Linked DNA regions of Nothobranchius furzeri. The protein of the gene in region 2 purifies or fractionates together with the protein of the main gene of each other region. This does not show direct contact. Links are inferred from orthologs where the notes say so. Each region holds a gene or a part of one and is shown on either strand. Other genes may lie near its edges.

What was found. Proteins that work in one complex are often made in the same cells at the same time.
Region 1: the proteins of rpa3 (region 2) and prpf19 purify together in Homo sapiens (affinity purification with western blotting; 3 studies listed by BioGRID, with this or other methods). This does not show direct contact. The link is inferred for Nothobranchius furzeri from reciprocal best matches to the Homo sapiens genes RPA3 and PRPF19.

Annotation. Positions count from the first base shown.
Region 1 is NC_091741.1:94,861,653-94,867,714, forward strand, and holds the start of prpf19 (pre-mRNA-processing factor 19), read right to left. Parts: upstream 2,801-6,062; 5' UTR 2,668-2,800; coding exon 2,649-2,667; intron 2,455-2,648; coding exon 2,305-2,454; intron 1,791-2,304; coding exon 1,714-1,790; intron 1,428-1,713; coding exon 1,286-1,427; intron 1,145-1,285; coding exon 1,071-1,144; intron 985-1,070; coding exon 919-984; intron 823-918; coding exon 781-822; intron 676-780; coding exon 601-675; intron 515-600; coding exon 439-514; intron 339-438; coding exon 229-338; intron 140-228; coding exon 1-139. Other genes in the region: uncharacterized protein, read right to left, coding at 4,131-4,352, 4,425-4,523, 4,598-4,699, 5,042-5,226, 5,321-5,659, 5,812-6,062. UniProt on the Homo sapiens protein: Ubiquitin-protein ligase which is a core component of several complexes mainly involved pre-mRNA splicing and DNA repair. Required for pre-mRNA splicing as component of the spliceosome.
Region 2 is NC_091751.1:24,165,978-24,173,893, forward strand, and holds the start of rpa3 (replication protein A 14 kDa subunit), read left to right. Parts: upstream 1-3,584; 5' UTR 3,585-3,649; coding exon 3,650-3,748; intron 3,749-3,825; coding exon 3,826-3,900; intron 3,901-7,916. Other genes in the region: umad1 (UBAP1-MVB12-associated (UMA)-domain containing protein 1), read right to left, coding at 328-603, 1,602-1,687, 3,032-3,113. UniProt on the Homo sapiens protein: As part of the heterotrimeric replication protein A complex (RPA/RP-A), binds and stabilizes single-stranded DNA intermediates that form during DNA replication or upon DNA stress.

The DNA of each region.
Region 1 (6,062 bases), on a different chromosome or scaffold from region 2:
TGAGCAGGTAGTCTCCAGTAGCATGAAGGGACAGACCGGTGACGCTGGCTTCGTGGGCACGCACCACCTGGATGCAGTTGCCCCCGGTAACAGACCACACACGGATGGTGGCATCAGGAGAGGCAGAGAAGACCATAGACTAGAGGGGAGAACACGTCAGAGAGAAGGATCACACCTGGCACGTTCCTTCAGTTATCAATAAAAGACCCCCAACGGACAAAGACTCACCTGAGATGGATGGAAAATGACAGAGGTGACCTTTTTGGTGTGGCCTTTAAGAGTCGCCACAATCTGCTCCTCGTTCTTGTCAAACACCACCACACTCTTATCAGCTCCACCTGGAGGACGACAACACAGTCAGCGTTGGACTAAATCGGCCCCGAGCGGGTGATTCGACACAACGCCAAATCAAATAGGACAGAGTTAAGCTCAGAGTACCAGTGAGCACTTTGCTGGTGTCTGAGGGACACACGTCCAGGGACAGAATACCAGGCACACTGGCGCTGTGAAGACCCTGAAGCAAACAGGAAACAAGTCCACCAGATGAAGCACATTCAGTCGTTTATAGGACCATCTTCATCATCCTGGTTCTGCACTTACAGCGTGGGAGGCCACTTGGCGGTACTTGCTGAGATCCTCGGCTCTAACCAGCTCCTCTGGAACAGTTTTTCCCCTCTACAGAAGCACAAGGAACTTTTTAAATCACACACAATCACAAGATATAAAAACTTTACCTTCCGTTGGAAGTTATAACTATAACAAGGAAAAAATGCTACAAACCTTTTTCCTCTCTGTGGTGAGAATAGTAGCCTTGTCTTGCAGCTGGAATGATCAAACAGATTAAATTGTTTAAATAAAATGAAATATGAGCTTATAATAAAATAATAAAATTCTGTGGACATAAAAAAAGTGTTTTACCTTCTGGATGATCTCTGGAGTCATTCCCACCTGTTCACTGATCTCCATAGGCTCTCCACCAGCACCCTGCAATACAAATGTGAATATTTTATACAAGAGGACTAAAACTACCAAGAGCTGAGGGTTAAAACAGTTAGGCATGGGTCACTCACTGCTGCAGCAGGCTGAGAGGCGGGGGCGGCCTGAGGGGTCACCAGTCCAGCTTGAGGTTTAAGTGTGGCCAGAGCTGCAAAAACAAAATAAACACATTTAGGACATTTTAAACGTGCTTATGTTCCCATTTAACAAATAAACCTTTGAAATAACACGCCAAGTGGCTATTAACATTTTAGAAACACCAAGATGTGTCTTCTTAGGACATACAGACCTTCTCTTGCAGCCGTGACCTCCTTGTTGAGTCGAGCGATGACTCTGCAGGCTGCGTCGTGTTGATAAAGGGCGTGAGAGAGTTCCTGGCGAGTAGTCTGCAGTTGCTGCCGCAAGGTGAAGCTGTGAAGCATGACGGCATCCTGTAGGACGCATAAAAAAAACAACTCTTCCTGAGATTTGAAATTAATTTATTAGAAATGACAGCAATGTCTTTAATACTTGAGCTTACAAACCCCAAAATTACTTCAAAAGTTACGTAAAAGTGTCATATGTTGATCTATGTGTTTGACGAGTTTTCAGATTTATTTTTGTTCAAATAGCAGCTGTTGTGTGAAAAATAAAAGGGTGATTCCTGTTCTAAATAGTCAACAATAACACACAGGTGTGAGGTGGACGAGTGTCCTCCTGACCGTTTCCATCACTCACCCACTCATCTTGAAGAGACTTGAGAATAGCTGGGATGCTTGTTGCTGATGGCGCCTTTGGTCTGATGGGGTGGGTCACTAAGCGGGAAGACATTTTCCAAACCAGGAAAAATTCAGTCAAACCTTTTTAAGTTAAATATGTTATTTCAGTGTGCAACTGGATTGAACTGGTACAGTTTATTGAAAGGCCCAGACTTATCAGAGTGTTACTAATAATAAATTAAAACCATTATTTTAAAATTACGACTCAATTAAAAATAAAATAAATGAAAGATCAGATGGCCATGATCATTTCAGTTAAAAACGACGCAAGACAAAAAGTTTAGTTATTTACCTTTATTATAATAAACTGTATTTTTAATTTTGATCCCTTTTGATGCCTGGATTAATAATCGGTTAGCCTTAGGTTAAATAATCTGTCCCAAACAACCACTTCAGTGTGAATAACTCAGCATTTCATGTTTATCATGTTAAACAGGCTTTAATACAATGCGAATTTCAAACTCGTCGTTTACTCATTAATTCATTCGTAGTGTCCAAAAATATCAAGTTAATCAAACTTAAATAAAGTCAAATCGAGGGTGTAGTTCACCTTTGATGTCCACTAGCTGCTCCTCGGACAGCGGCTGTCCGTTCATCGGGTCCGTCCCATTCTCGGCGATGTACTTCTCTATCAGCCTCCGCTCAAACACATGATTGGACACCGGGGAGATGCACGGGTGCTCCGGCACCTCGTTGCAAACTACAAACAAACAAAAGGAGAGGGCGCATAACGCTCACAACTCAGTAAAAACAAAGAAAAAAAAGAGAATGGAGGGAAACTGAAGTTAAATACGGTTTGCGTGGCCGCTAATGTTAGCTTCATTAGCTTGTAGCATTAGCATGATACCGAGCTAACTCACAGGCGCCGTCCTGCAAATTTTCATCTTCACTTACTTGCACAAACCAAAGACATGTTCCAAACGCAGTCCTAACAGTGCCCTCCTAAACGTAGACTGTGTTTTTTGGCGTCTTGAATTTCCCCCCGCTTGTGAACACTTATATTTAGTTCAAACTGGAGATAGCACGCTGTCCTTTCATTGCCGCTATAAAGGAACTGCTTCCTTTTTCTTCGTCGCTGGTTTCCGCCAACAATCAAACCGCACTCATTTCAGTCTGCACTGCCCTCCACCGCTTAAAACACACCACTGCACTCTTGAAAATCTTACAGGGGTCTGCAACCAGCAGTGCAAGTGGCTCTTTAGATAAAAATTATTTTAAAAAGCACATTTTTAACATAGACATATTAAAAATTGTTGGTTAAAGCAGCTTTTCGGGTTTTATGGAATAACTACATTGAATATCCACATCAAAATGAAACTACAATTACCATTTGACATAATTTTCCACAAATATCAACATCCCAGAGAAAAATCTCCATTCTACGTTTGCCAAAGTATTTTTTTTATCATTTTAAAATTGACTAATGGAAACAAATGTTGGATATTTTTAAATGACAGCAAATCTAATAGTTCCTTATTGAAGAAGGCACAAATATTTCTTGCTTTAATCTCAGAATTCTCCCATTAATGTCAAGACATCTGAGCAAAAAAAAAAAAAAAAAAAAGAAGATAACTTTCCTCTACGTTAAACCTCCAACATAGATTTTTATCATAAATGGCGTTTTTCCTGAACGTCCTCTAACAGTTGAGGCTCTGAACAATTATTGGGATGGACTGAGAGAAAAACGGCCGTTTGGATTGTAAAGAATGCAGACCCATGCTCAAGCAGATTTCTCTATAGTCAAAGAATAGATAATATGAGGCGTTTGTGTTAAATATACATTTTATTGTTTTAGAGACAACCTTCTGATAGTCAATAATGAATTACATTAGTGATGCTATAATATGTTCCCAGATTTACAGGCTGTTGCCCTATAATAGGTTACATTTCTACAATTGTCTAGAGGGTAATAACACTACACCTGCAAAATAACTTTAACTGCAAGACAGATATTTATAATATTTTTTGCAGCAGTCAGGAATGAACAGGATGATTATGCACTTTAGTTTATGCTATAATAATGTGGCATTTTAATAATTTTCTCTTGCAAACCTTAGAGTAACTATGTTGACGTTTATGCAGACCTAGGGATCATAGAAGGCCAATGAACACTTGAGACACCCGGCAAAGACAGTGCAGATCATGTTGGTCCTGAGGGTCTGGAGGTAGGTAACAGCAGGAGATTTCATGAGCACCATAGTGCAATGTGTGACATGAAGGGTAACGCTCAACCCGTGGTTCAAAACTCAGTACAAACCCAAGAATTAAAAGTGTGCAAACTGGTGCACATGAGATTGTTCATGTCAGCTTAGAATCATCTACTGTAATATTTCCATGCCTCAAGCTTCACTTCTCATCTCATCCTAGCCTCCGTTTTTATAGAAAGTCCAGTTTATTTGATGTGTAAACACTGCAAGATTCAGAAGTGTCCGTATCTAGAGGCAGCGCGGAAAATAAGTTGTTGGATTTGCTCCACCTTTCCTCATCTCCGTCTTTCTTGATCTGGAACTGGACACAGTCCTCGCAGGAATGGAGGCAGTCTGACGCTCCAGGAACAGAAAAGGAAATATTTTCCTCTTCCTCTGTAGGTTTTTCCTGCTGGAGAGGTGCGACAGCAATGGATTTGAAAAAGCGCGTAACTTGCCATCCATCACAACTCTGCTGTTTTACCTCAGTGGTCACATTATGACGAGGGGAGCTACCAGCTGTCAGTCTTTGCAGTTCCTGGTTTTCATCTCCCACCGTCTCCATCAGAACAGGAGTGTAGCCCTGGAAGTACACAACAACAATGTGCTTAGACACTCAACTCTGTTCCAGCCCCCCCAAGCGATGATAAGCCTTACAGAGTGAGCAGGACTGGCTCTTGGGGTCCATTTTCTTGGTGTAACAGGATGCTCGGGATGGCTATAGTAGGCTGGAGGCTGTTGAAGGGTCTGACTGTAGTTCTGCAGTAACAAACACAGAATAAAACTCAGCTTTTTTACTTAGATTTTATTTCCTGGATCATTAAGAGTGTTTATTTACAGCTCTTTGGGAGTTTTGATCTTCCAAACAGTGCTTTATAAATACATCTAAATTAATTTTAACTTCACTTTTACTAACAGTCATAGGACATGTTGTGGTTTGATTTGCTCTTCCTGCTGTGCGTCAGCATTCCAAAGGGCTATTTAATTTAAAAGATGCATATTTGCACATGATGCAAGCTCAGAATCAGAAATACCATTTAATCTATGGCAGGAGACTAAAAGTGGGCGGGGCTACACACGGTGGAGTTCTGTCCTCCTCACCTGGATGTTGACCCTGGGAGGGTTGGATGGCGCCGCGCGGTTTGTCCTGATGCCCGTGATGATCTGTGACAGGCTGCAGTTTGGGTAGCGCTTCATAAACAGGATGAAACCGGCCAGCGACACAAACATTCCAGATGGGACAGAAATGGACTTGAAGAGCGCTCGCCACGTCCCTCCCCTTTTTTCTGAGATCAGAAAGACAGATGGGACAGAAATTGGATAAACTTTGCACAACTGAGCAGGAAGTTAATTTCCAGGTGAATGCGCAGCGCTGCTCACCGATCATGTGTAAATACGTAGAAGACACGAGGTTTCCATCCCCGTCTCTGACTTCGTACAGCCCGTCATGTCTTGATGTGAGTCTGATGATGACGACCTCATGGATGGATCCGTTCCTGCTCAGAGAGACGATTCCTCTGTAGCGCAGGTCGTGGTCCGTTATGTGGCCCTCGCGAAGCAGCTGCACGGGGCCGCGGGGGGGCTTTGGGTCGAAAGGGCCCAGGGACGACTCATCTGGAATTCGACTTGGGGTAAAAATGAGATGGGCGTGATGGAGAGGGAGAAATAAGGGAAGGGTTAGAGACTCCTTGGTGAAGCGAGAAATATTGAAGGAGTGCCCTGCATTAGGATGCAGATCAAAAGCAGCAGTGGGTGATGGAGGAGACATGGAGGTATGACAGAGTAACAGATACAAAGAGGATGAAAAAAATTATCATCCTATTGTTGCCAAAAAACGAAAAACAGAATCCTCTCAAAGCTCTGGAGCTCACCACGAACTGAGAGGGTGCTACGAGACAGTACGTTCCCGTCGTCGTCTTTTATGGTGTAGTTGCCTTGATCCGCCTGCGTGACTTTCTCCGCCAACCAGACCCTCCCTCCTCGCAGCAGCCGCCCCCGACCAGCGTCGCTTGTTTCAGGGTTCGTCCGGTTCCACAAGATGATCGGCATGGCCTCAGGTGGAGCCCCACGGGGATAAAACTCCAGCAGGGAAGCATTTTCAGGAATCCCATGCTCAAAGGTC
Region 2 (7,916 bases):
ATGTATTTTAGACCTGATTTTTATGGTTCAATGTTACGAAGCTGCAAGTATTTTTCAATACCTTGGCATTTCATTAATTTTCAACATTTTGATGGATATTTCCAGAAATGAATGGTAAAAAAACTACACATTGTTACTTTAAGCAGATCTAACTGAGTGCATTTGCTATTATTTACAGTTTATCATTAATTTTATGAGTTTTATTTGTTCACAGGTTAATTATTTACCTTTTCATGTTTTCTTTAGTGAAACAGCCAACTGGTCATGTGGTCCAGAACCAGTGAAACCTTTTAAAGCTCACCAGGATCTGTCCCAACGCCAAACCTACTAGCTGCTATGAATCACAGAGTTCTCTAAAGTGAAATCGTAATGAAAACTAGTCAGGTTCGAGTTCATGTCACGAGACATCAGCACATCAGGAACCACGGGGAATCCTGCCTGTAGGGCGAGCACATGAGGAGCCAATGTGAAGGGGACATCTCCGAGGAGATCCGGGAGGGTTGGAGCGGCCTGGGAGGCTGGAGGTCCATGTCCTGGTGCTGGGTGGGTAACAGGTGCAGGAAGCATTCCATCACTGGGCTGAGTTGGTGAGGGACAGGACGGCTGGGGGAAGACATTATGACATAATTTAAAAAATTAATCCAGAAGCAGGAATGATTCTCCAAAGGGACTTTTGACTACTGCAGGTTCCCACTTGGCTGAGGATGACTTGGTTTAAGGTTCTCAGTCATCTAGGTCATTGTAGTCTAATGAGCTTTGAAAGAAAAGCGTCTGGACTTCTTTGAGTTGCTTGAAGACGCCCAGCAACACACTCAGACAGAAACTGGTTCACCCGAAAGACAAAACTCCTAAACACAAACGGAACAATGTGGTGTATGCTGTACAGTGCAGCGAGGAATGCCCAGACCTCTACATCGGAGAAACCAAACAGCCACTTCACAAGCGCATGGCACAACATAGAAGAGCCACCTCCACGGGACAGGACTCAGCAGTTCATTTGCATCTAAAGGACAAAGGTCACTCTTTCGAGGATGCCAACGTTCACATTTTGGACAGAGAGGACAGATGGTTTGAAAGAGGAGTAAAGGAAGCCATTTATGTCCACTGTGAGCAACCATCTTTGAACAGAGGTGGTGGTTTACGACACCAACTGTCTGCCATCTATAATCCAGTTTTGAGATCCCTTCCCAGATGCCTCAATGCCCATGCATATCCTGGGCCATCTGACCTCAGGAATTCACATGATAGGGTGGGGCCAGGTTTCACAATGAGCTCACCCGAAACTCTGGCTGAACAGGACCCACACCCACCCTCACACCTTGGCTCATGTGTTTATGTAGAAGATCATCAGGGGGTCTTTTGTTCCCTCTTCCGGGGGGAAACTCCCACTGGGTTTAAATCTGGGACTCTCCACCATTTGACCTTAGAACTGAAGAAGCCCCTCGGATGAGAGGTGAAACGTCTTCAAGCAACTCAAAGAAGTCCAGACGCTTTTCTTTCAAAGCTCATTAGATGACTTGGTTACTAATGTGCAGCTCTCCTCTGAGAGATAAGCTGCAGGACTAACATTCATCACAGCGCATGGACCTTGAGCAGCTCACCTTTGATGGCTGCACGATGACATTAGTAGAGGGCTGTGTGACGCTCTTGGGAGGCATCCTCCTCCTCCGTTCTTCTGCTGTTTCTCCTACAGATTAAAAGATGGAAACAGAAGACACATTCTATCCACAACCAGAATATCAAGTAATTACAATAAAAGCCACGTAGAGGTGTAAAGGGTCGTCAGATCAGGAGCTGGGGCCTCTTTTATAAAACTTGGTGTCGATGATTTTTGAAGTCAAAGTCCCATTAGTCATCACACACTGGTGAAATTCATCTCCACATTTGACCCATCCCTGTGGGGAGCGGCGAGCTGCAGCTGTGGCTGCGCTCAGGAACTATATGGTGGTTTAACCCCCAATCCAAGCTCTTAAAGCTGAGTGTCAAGCAGGGAGGCATTGTGTTCCATTTATAAAGCCTTTGATAGGACCCGACTGGGATTTGAACCCCAATCTCCCAGTTCCAAGGTGGACACAACACTGAGAAGTGCTGTACTGATTAGCGTTTTATAATCTGTGAGAACAGAACTAGAATTCCTCTAAATGTCATTTATTGTTGGTTCAAGCTCAGATCCATTTTAAGCTTAGGCTGAGCACAAAGCTGTTTTAGGCACCTGCTCAGGGGTGTGTCATCTGACATGGTTCTCCTCAAATGTTTGTTGTTGTTTTTTTCTCCTTCCAATGTGTTTGCTGCACAAACTGACAAACTGTTAAATCATAACAATACAATTTGCTGTTTCTGCCAGAAAGAAACTCTGCTGGTACTCTCTCACTGATCTGGATGCAGAATGTACTCGCCGATGTCTGGAAAACACTTTTCCACCTCGACTGGATGCAGTCGTTCCTGAGCATTTTATTTTTCTTTTCATCAGACTGACCTGAGTAGCATTATCCAGCAGCACAGATCCTGCGTCACACACAGCTGCCTCACATCAAAACAAACTTGGAGCCTCTTCCTGTTTCTGGGTTCTGATGACCAGATCTGTAAACCCCGCCTGTCTAAAACCACCAGAACAGTGTTGACTCAAACTGTAGAGCTAGAGTTAATAGACACTGTGGTAGCAGTAAATCTGTTGAGTTAGATAGACTTCATATTGAAACAGGAAGTTAATGTTTGCGGTTTCCTCTGGCTGACTCTAGAGCCTAGACCTTATTTTCCGCATATTCCACATTTAGTTCTCATCGCCCCATCCGTGTCACACACTGGGAGGGAAAACAGCGGAAGTGATGGAGGAACCTTTGTGAACAGAACACTTTTTTAACAAGTTTTATTTAACCAATGAAGCTTACAGGCTTACATAAGAATCAATATTTACAGTTGAATTCTGAGCATGACAAAAAAGCAGGTGTACAAACAGAAACAATAATATTAATCTAGCTCAATATCAATGAACAGAACACATTTTCAACAGAACAATCATGATCGCTCTTACCAACGACGACAAAGCCTCCATCAACGTCCTTCTCGGCTGCTGACTTCTTTGAGTCTTTACGTAGTCCGAAAAAGTTTAACATGATTTTACTTCAACAAACAGAAAAACACAACGTCAGACCAACAGCAGAAGTTAAGACGGTGATGCATTTGAAGAGCTTCTGGACGGAAGCATACGGATATGGACTTTGCTTTCAAAAACGCCAAGCTAAACATTTAACTTGGTTTACTTTAAAGTTCTTCGATCGGTTACATGTGAAAAAGCGATTACGTGACGCGCTTACCGTGGTGTGAAGTGTATGAGTCCGCTGTTAGATCATGGCTCCTCTGGATGATGTTCTAGCTAATTCGGTGCCACTCGATTGTAGTGTAGCGGAACTGTTTACTGTCGTTTCTGGGGAATGAAATCCCGGAGTGCAGCGGATATGTCGTAAGAATCCGTATGCGCGCTTGGTTTATTAACCAAGTAAAAGTAAGCCGTCGTTGAAGCATTCGTGCTATTACACTGTGAGCGTGGTAGCTCCGCCCGCGCGGGCTACTCTAATACTACAAACAGCATCCATATAGTTTCCCGCGTTGTCTCTTGAGCTTCCTGTCGCCAATAAGTCAAGCCGCGAAGATGGCAAGTATCGTGGACGTCCCAAAGCCCAGAATTAACTGTTCTATGCTGTCGCAGCACATCAACCGACCGGTTTGCTTCGTTGGTCGAGTCGGACAGGTCAGATTACCCTGCGTGCATCTTTAGTCACGGTGTTTTCACGTAAACCGTTCGGTTGATGATCTGTTGTTCCACAGGTTCACCCCAATGGGAAAACGTTCACCGTCTCCGATGGAGAAGGAAACACCGCGACGGTAGAGCTGAACGAACCTGTGAGTACACCACACCGCAGTCCACTGGTGGGAACTCCGGCTCGTTTAAGAGAACCGGCTCTTATGGCTCGGTTCACTAAAATGAACCGGCTCTTTTGGCTCTCAAACAACTCCTCACTTTTTGTTGTTTTAATTAATCAACAGAAATTATGTAATTATTGACCAATTTACAAACTTGCATTAAATCAATTTTAGGCGGTTTTGCCTCGTTTTTAGCACCCCTAGTGCCTGTTTAGTAGAACCAAAAGCAAAACTTAAATCCTCTTGGTGTGAAATGTCTCCGCAGCCGTGATTAGTGTCCACAGAAGGGATTCGTTACTAAATCAAACATGTCAGATCTGTTTATGATCTAAAACATCCAGGAAACGTGCTGGAAGCAGACTGCAGCACCAGGTTTGTCAGCTAAAACAGGGGCCTGCCACACTGAAGTTGTGGTATTCTGGCTACAGAGGGCGATGGGATCTGAGTGACTTTCCATTAATCATGTAAAGGGACAACACATCATTACAGTTCACCACTGGGCTGCTGCTCAGATTTTTATTTGCATACATTTCTGAGAGCCATTTTTCGGTTTTGGGCTGTGGCGCAGTGGTTAGAGCTGTTGCCTTGCAGCAAGAAGGTCCTGGGTTCGCTTCCCAGCCTGGGATCTTTCTGCATGGAGTCTGCATGTTCTCCCTGTGCATGCGTGGGTTCTCTCTGGGTTCAAAAGACGTGCACGTCCAAAGACCTGACTGTTAGGTTAATTGGTCTGTCTAAACTGTCCTTAGGTGTGTGTGTGCGCGCATGATTGTTTGTCCTGTGTGTCTCTGTGTTGCCCTGTGATGGACTGGTACTCTGTCCAGGGTGTACCCCGCCTGATTGCCCATTGACCGCTGGAGATAGGCACCAGCCCCCCGCAACCCTACGTGGACAAAGCAGGTTCAGACAATGGATGGATGGATGGATCATTGACTACGTTTACATGCAGCCAATATCCGGGTTATGATCGGGTTAAGGTCGGTATTCGGGTTTCTGAGTTGATCAGAATAACCCGTTTACAAGCATTCTTGTTCTTCTTGTTCCGGTATCCGTGAAAACAACAACATGTTTCCCAGTTCAGAAGAGATAGTGACCGCATTTGTTTGCGCTTTAGTTTCCTCATCACTCAAAGTGTGGTGCTGTGCCGCGACTCGCCATGTTGCTCCCAACTTGTTGTTTACTTCCGGTGTTCTGGTGCATACAAGACGTCTCGCTACTCAAAAGACCAAGATTCCTTGTGAACAGAGCATGCACAGAACACACGCTTTGATGGGGATATCCCGGTATGCGTTTACACGACCAAACATTCGGGTTAGAAAAGGGTTACCCCAGGTGTAGTAACCGGGTTTTTAAAAACACGGTTATGAGCATATCCGGGTTTTTGGCGGTGTTTACATGGCCGTGCGGAACCGGGTTATTGTGAATATTCGGGTTTTAAAAGGGTTACTGGCTGCATGTAAACGCACTGATTCAGTTTCGTTCCACTTCACAATTAAGTGCTTTTTTTTGTTTAGGTCCATCACAGAACATCGTAATAAAAAACATTGAAGTTCGTGGTTCGGTGTCAAAATGTGTAAAGATTCAAGAGATATGAATACTTTAGCTATGCATTGTAACCCAACCCACATAACTTGGCAACTATAAACTGACACAAGTTTAGTGCGGTTTATCCACATTTATTTTTGCAAAACTTTAACGGCTTTGTTTTACGTATTTTATTTTTAATTTTATTTAATATTTATACTGTTTGGAAGTGTTGCTTCCTTTTACAACACTAAAGAATTTTTATAGTTACTCCAAATATGAAGTGAGTCATCTCTAGCCTGGCAAGGCATCCAGTAGGGAGCCTAAGTCTCCTCCCTTTCCGGTCAGCTCATGGGCTCCCGGAAGAACGAAAAAATGAAAACAAGGCAACGGGGCTAAGAGAGCTATTTCCTAATCCGCTTTGCCTTGCACCCTGGATCGCACATATGTAGTACTGGAATTTAAATGAAAAGTAATGGTGGGTGTTTCAACCACGCCAGTCACGTACTTTGAAATTTATCAGCTTGTAAAAGTTTGTAATTAGCACGACTACAAATCCGACATCGACACGTCGCATATGTGACGTCACCACAGAATCTCCTCTCCCCTAGCTTAGCTGCTACTTACCAAATAGCCAGATTTATGGTGGTTTTTCTCTCCTGAAGGAAGAATTTGAAGTTCGCTAAACGTCCAGCCATTTAGCCTTGATGACGTCACTTTCTTGAAGCGCATTTGTAGTCCTGGACTTATTGTCACACAAAACCTAAAATAGTGTTTCTCCCCGTTTGAAAATAAGCGCGTTCTTGGTATCGAAATGCGTATTTAAAATTCACGGACATCATATGTGAAATCCATGGCACATAACAAGCGGAATTAGAAAACAGCGTTTTTAGCTCCGTTGACTTGCATTCATTTTTACATTCTTCCGGGGACCCGTGAGCCGACCGGAAAGGGAGGCGAGGGTTTGTGAAACTTTTGAGTTGTTACAGTAGGGCTGGAACAAATTATCGAATGGTTCGATTGATTACATTCTTCGATTCATTTTTTTAGTGATTCGAAGCTTTGTTAAATATGCGCACCACAGTCTGAACACATTTTTACTGGCGCACTACGTGGTGATCTAGGTGCTGTGGAGGTAGAGTGTCCGCCCTGAGACTGGGAGGTCAGGGTTCGATTCCTGGTCGGGTCATACCAAAGACTTTGAAAAAAAAATGGGACCCAAGGCCTCCCTGCTTGACACTCAGCAATAAGGGGTTGGATTGGGGGGTTAAACCACCAAATGGTTCCCGAGCGTGGCTGTGTCTGCAGCTCACCACTCCCCCAGGGGATGGGTCAAATGCGGAGAACAAATTTCACACACTTATCAGCGTGTGTGACAACTAATGGGACTTTTTTAACTAACTTTTAAAATGGAGAAACCAGCAAAGACCGAGACCATTGTAAAAGGCATAAATGTGTCCAAATCTTGGTGCCTGTCATGTTTTCACTTATTTTCTCACCTTTCTGTAGCACCGGCTGTGTTTTCTCTCTCTCCTCTTTTACTGATTTGTCCCCACCAATATTTACAGGTCCCATTAGTTAATGTAATAATTGTGCCAGGGATTTTGTGCCACCCCTCTCCCTGCTTTCACAGCGATTGAAGGTGCGCTGCAACCCCCACCCCCTGTCTCATGTAAATCAGGGACACACTGTGTGTGTGTGTGTGTGTATGTGTGGTGCGCAACGCGCTTACATCTTCCAATTTTTTAATACCTCGGGAGCTAGGCCTGAGAGCCGTCTCGTTCAGCGTCAGCCTGAAGAAGCCGGCAGCAGTTGGCAAAACTGTAGCGTCAATAACAGGTAACAAAACCGTTTCTGTGTTTTAAAAAAGAACGACAACTTGGAATTAGAAATAACGCACAGCAAGAACACAGCTAAGATGAATTCCATAGCACCGACCGAGCACTGATTCACGTCGTTTCAAACTGTGCCTCGTTTCGGTACCTGTCCATCATAACGAGAACTTGCCAAGACAGCTGCGCATGCGCAAGAGCGTTATGTCGTCGCTCGCTGCGAGCGAGTTGTAAACAGAGCAGCATGGTAGAAAGAACGCACGCTAAAGCTTGGGTCCACTTCACTAAATGTGATGGGTAACTGGGTGATGATGAAACCAGCGACAACGATCTAAGTGAGACATCCTCATCTTAATCTGCTCCCGTAGGTAAATATAATTAGCTTGATATGTTAGCTTCCGTTTCGCTAATGGTGCGTTGGTTTTCTCCTCGGAACTCCGAATTCCCGACTAGAAGAACATGAACGTGCTCTAAAGTTTGGCTTCACTTTACTAAATGTGATGGGTGAAGATGAAACCAGTGACAACGATCTAAGTGTGAGGCATCATCGTTTTAATCTGCTCCAGCAGTTAAATAAACTGTTTAAGATAACGTTAGCTTGGTATGTTAGCTTCCTATGCCACCATTGTTATCAGCTAATGG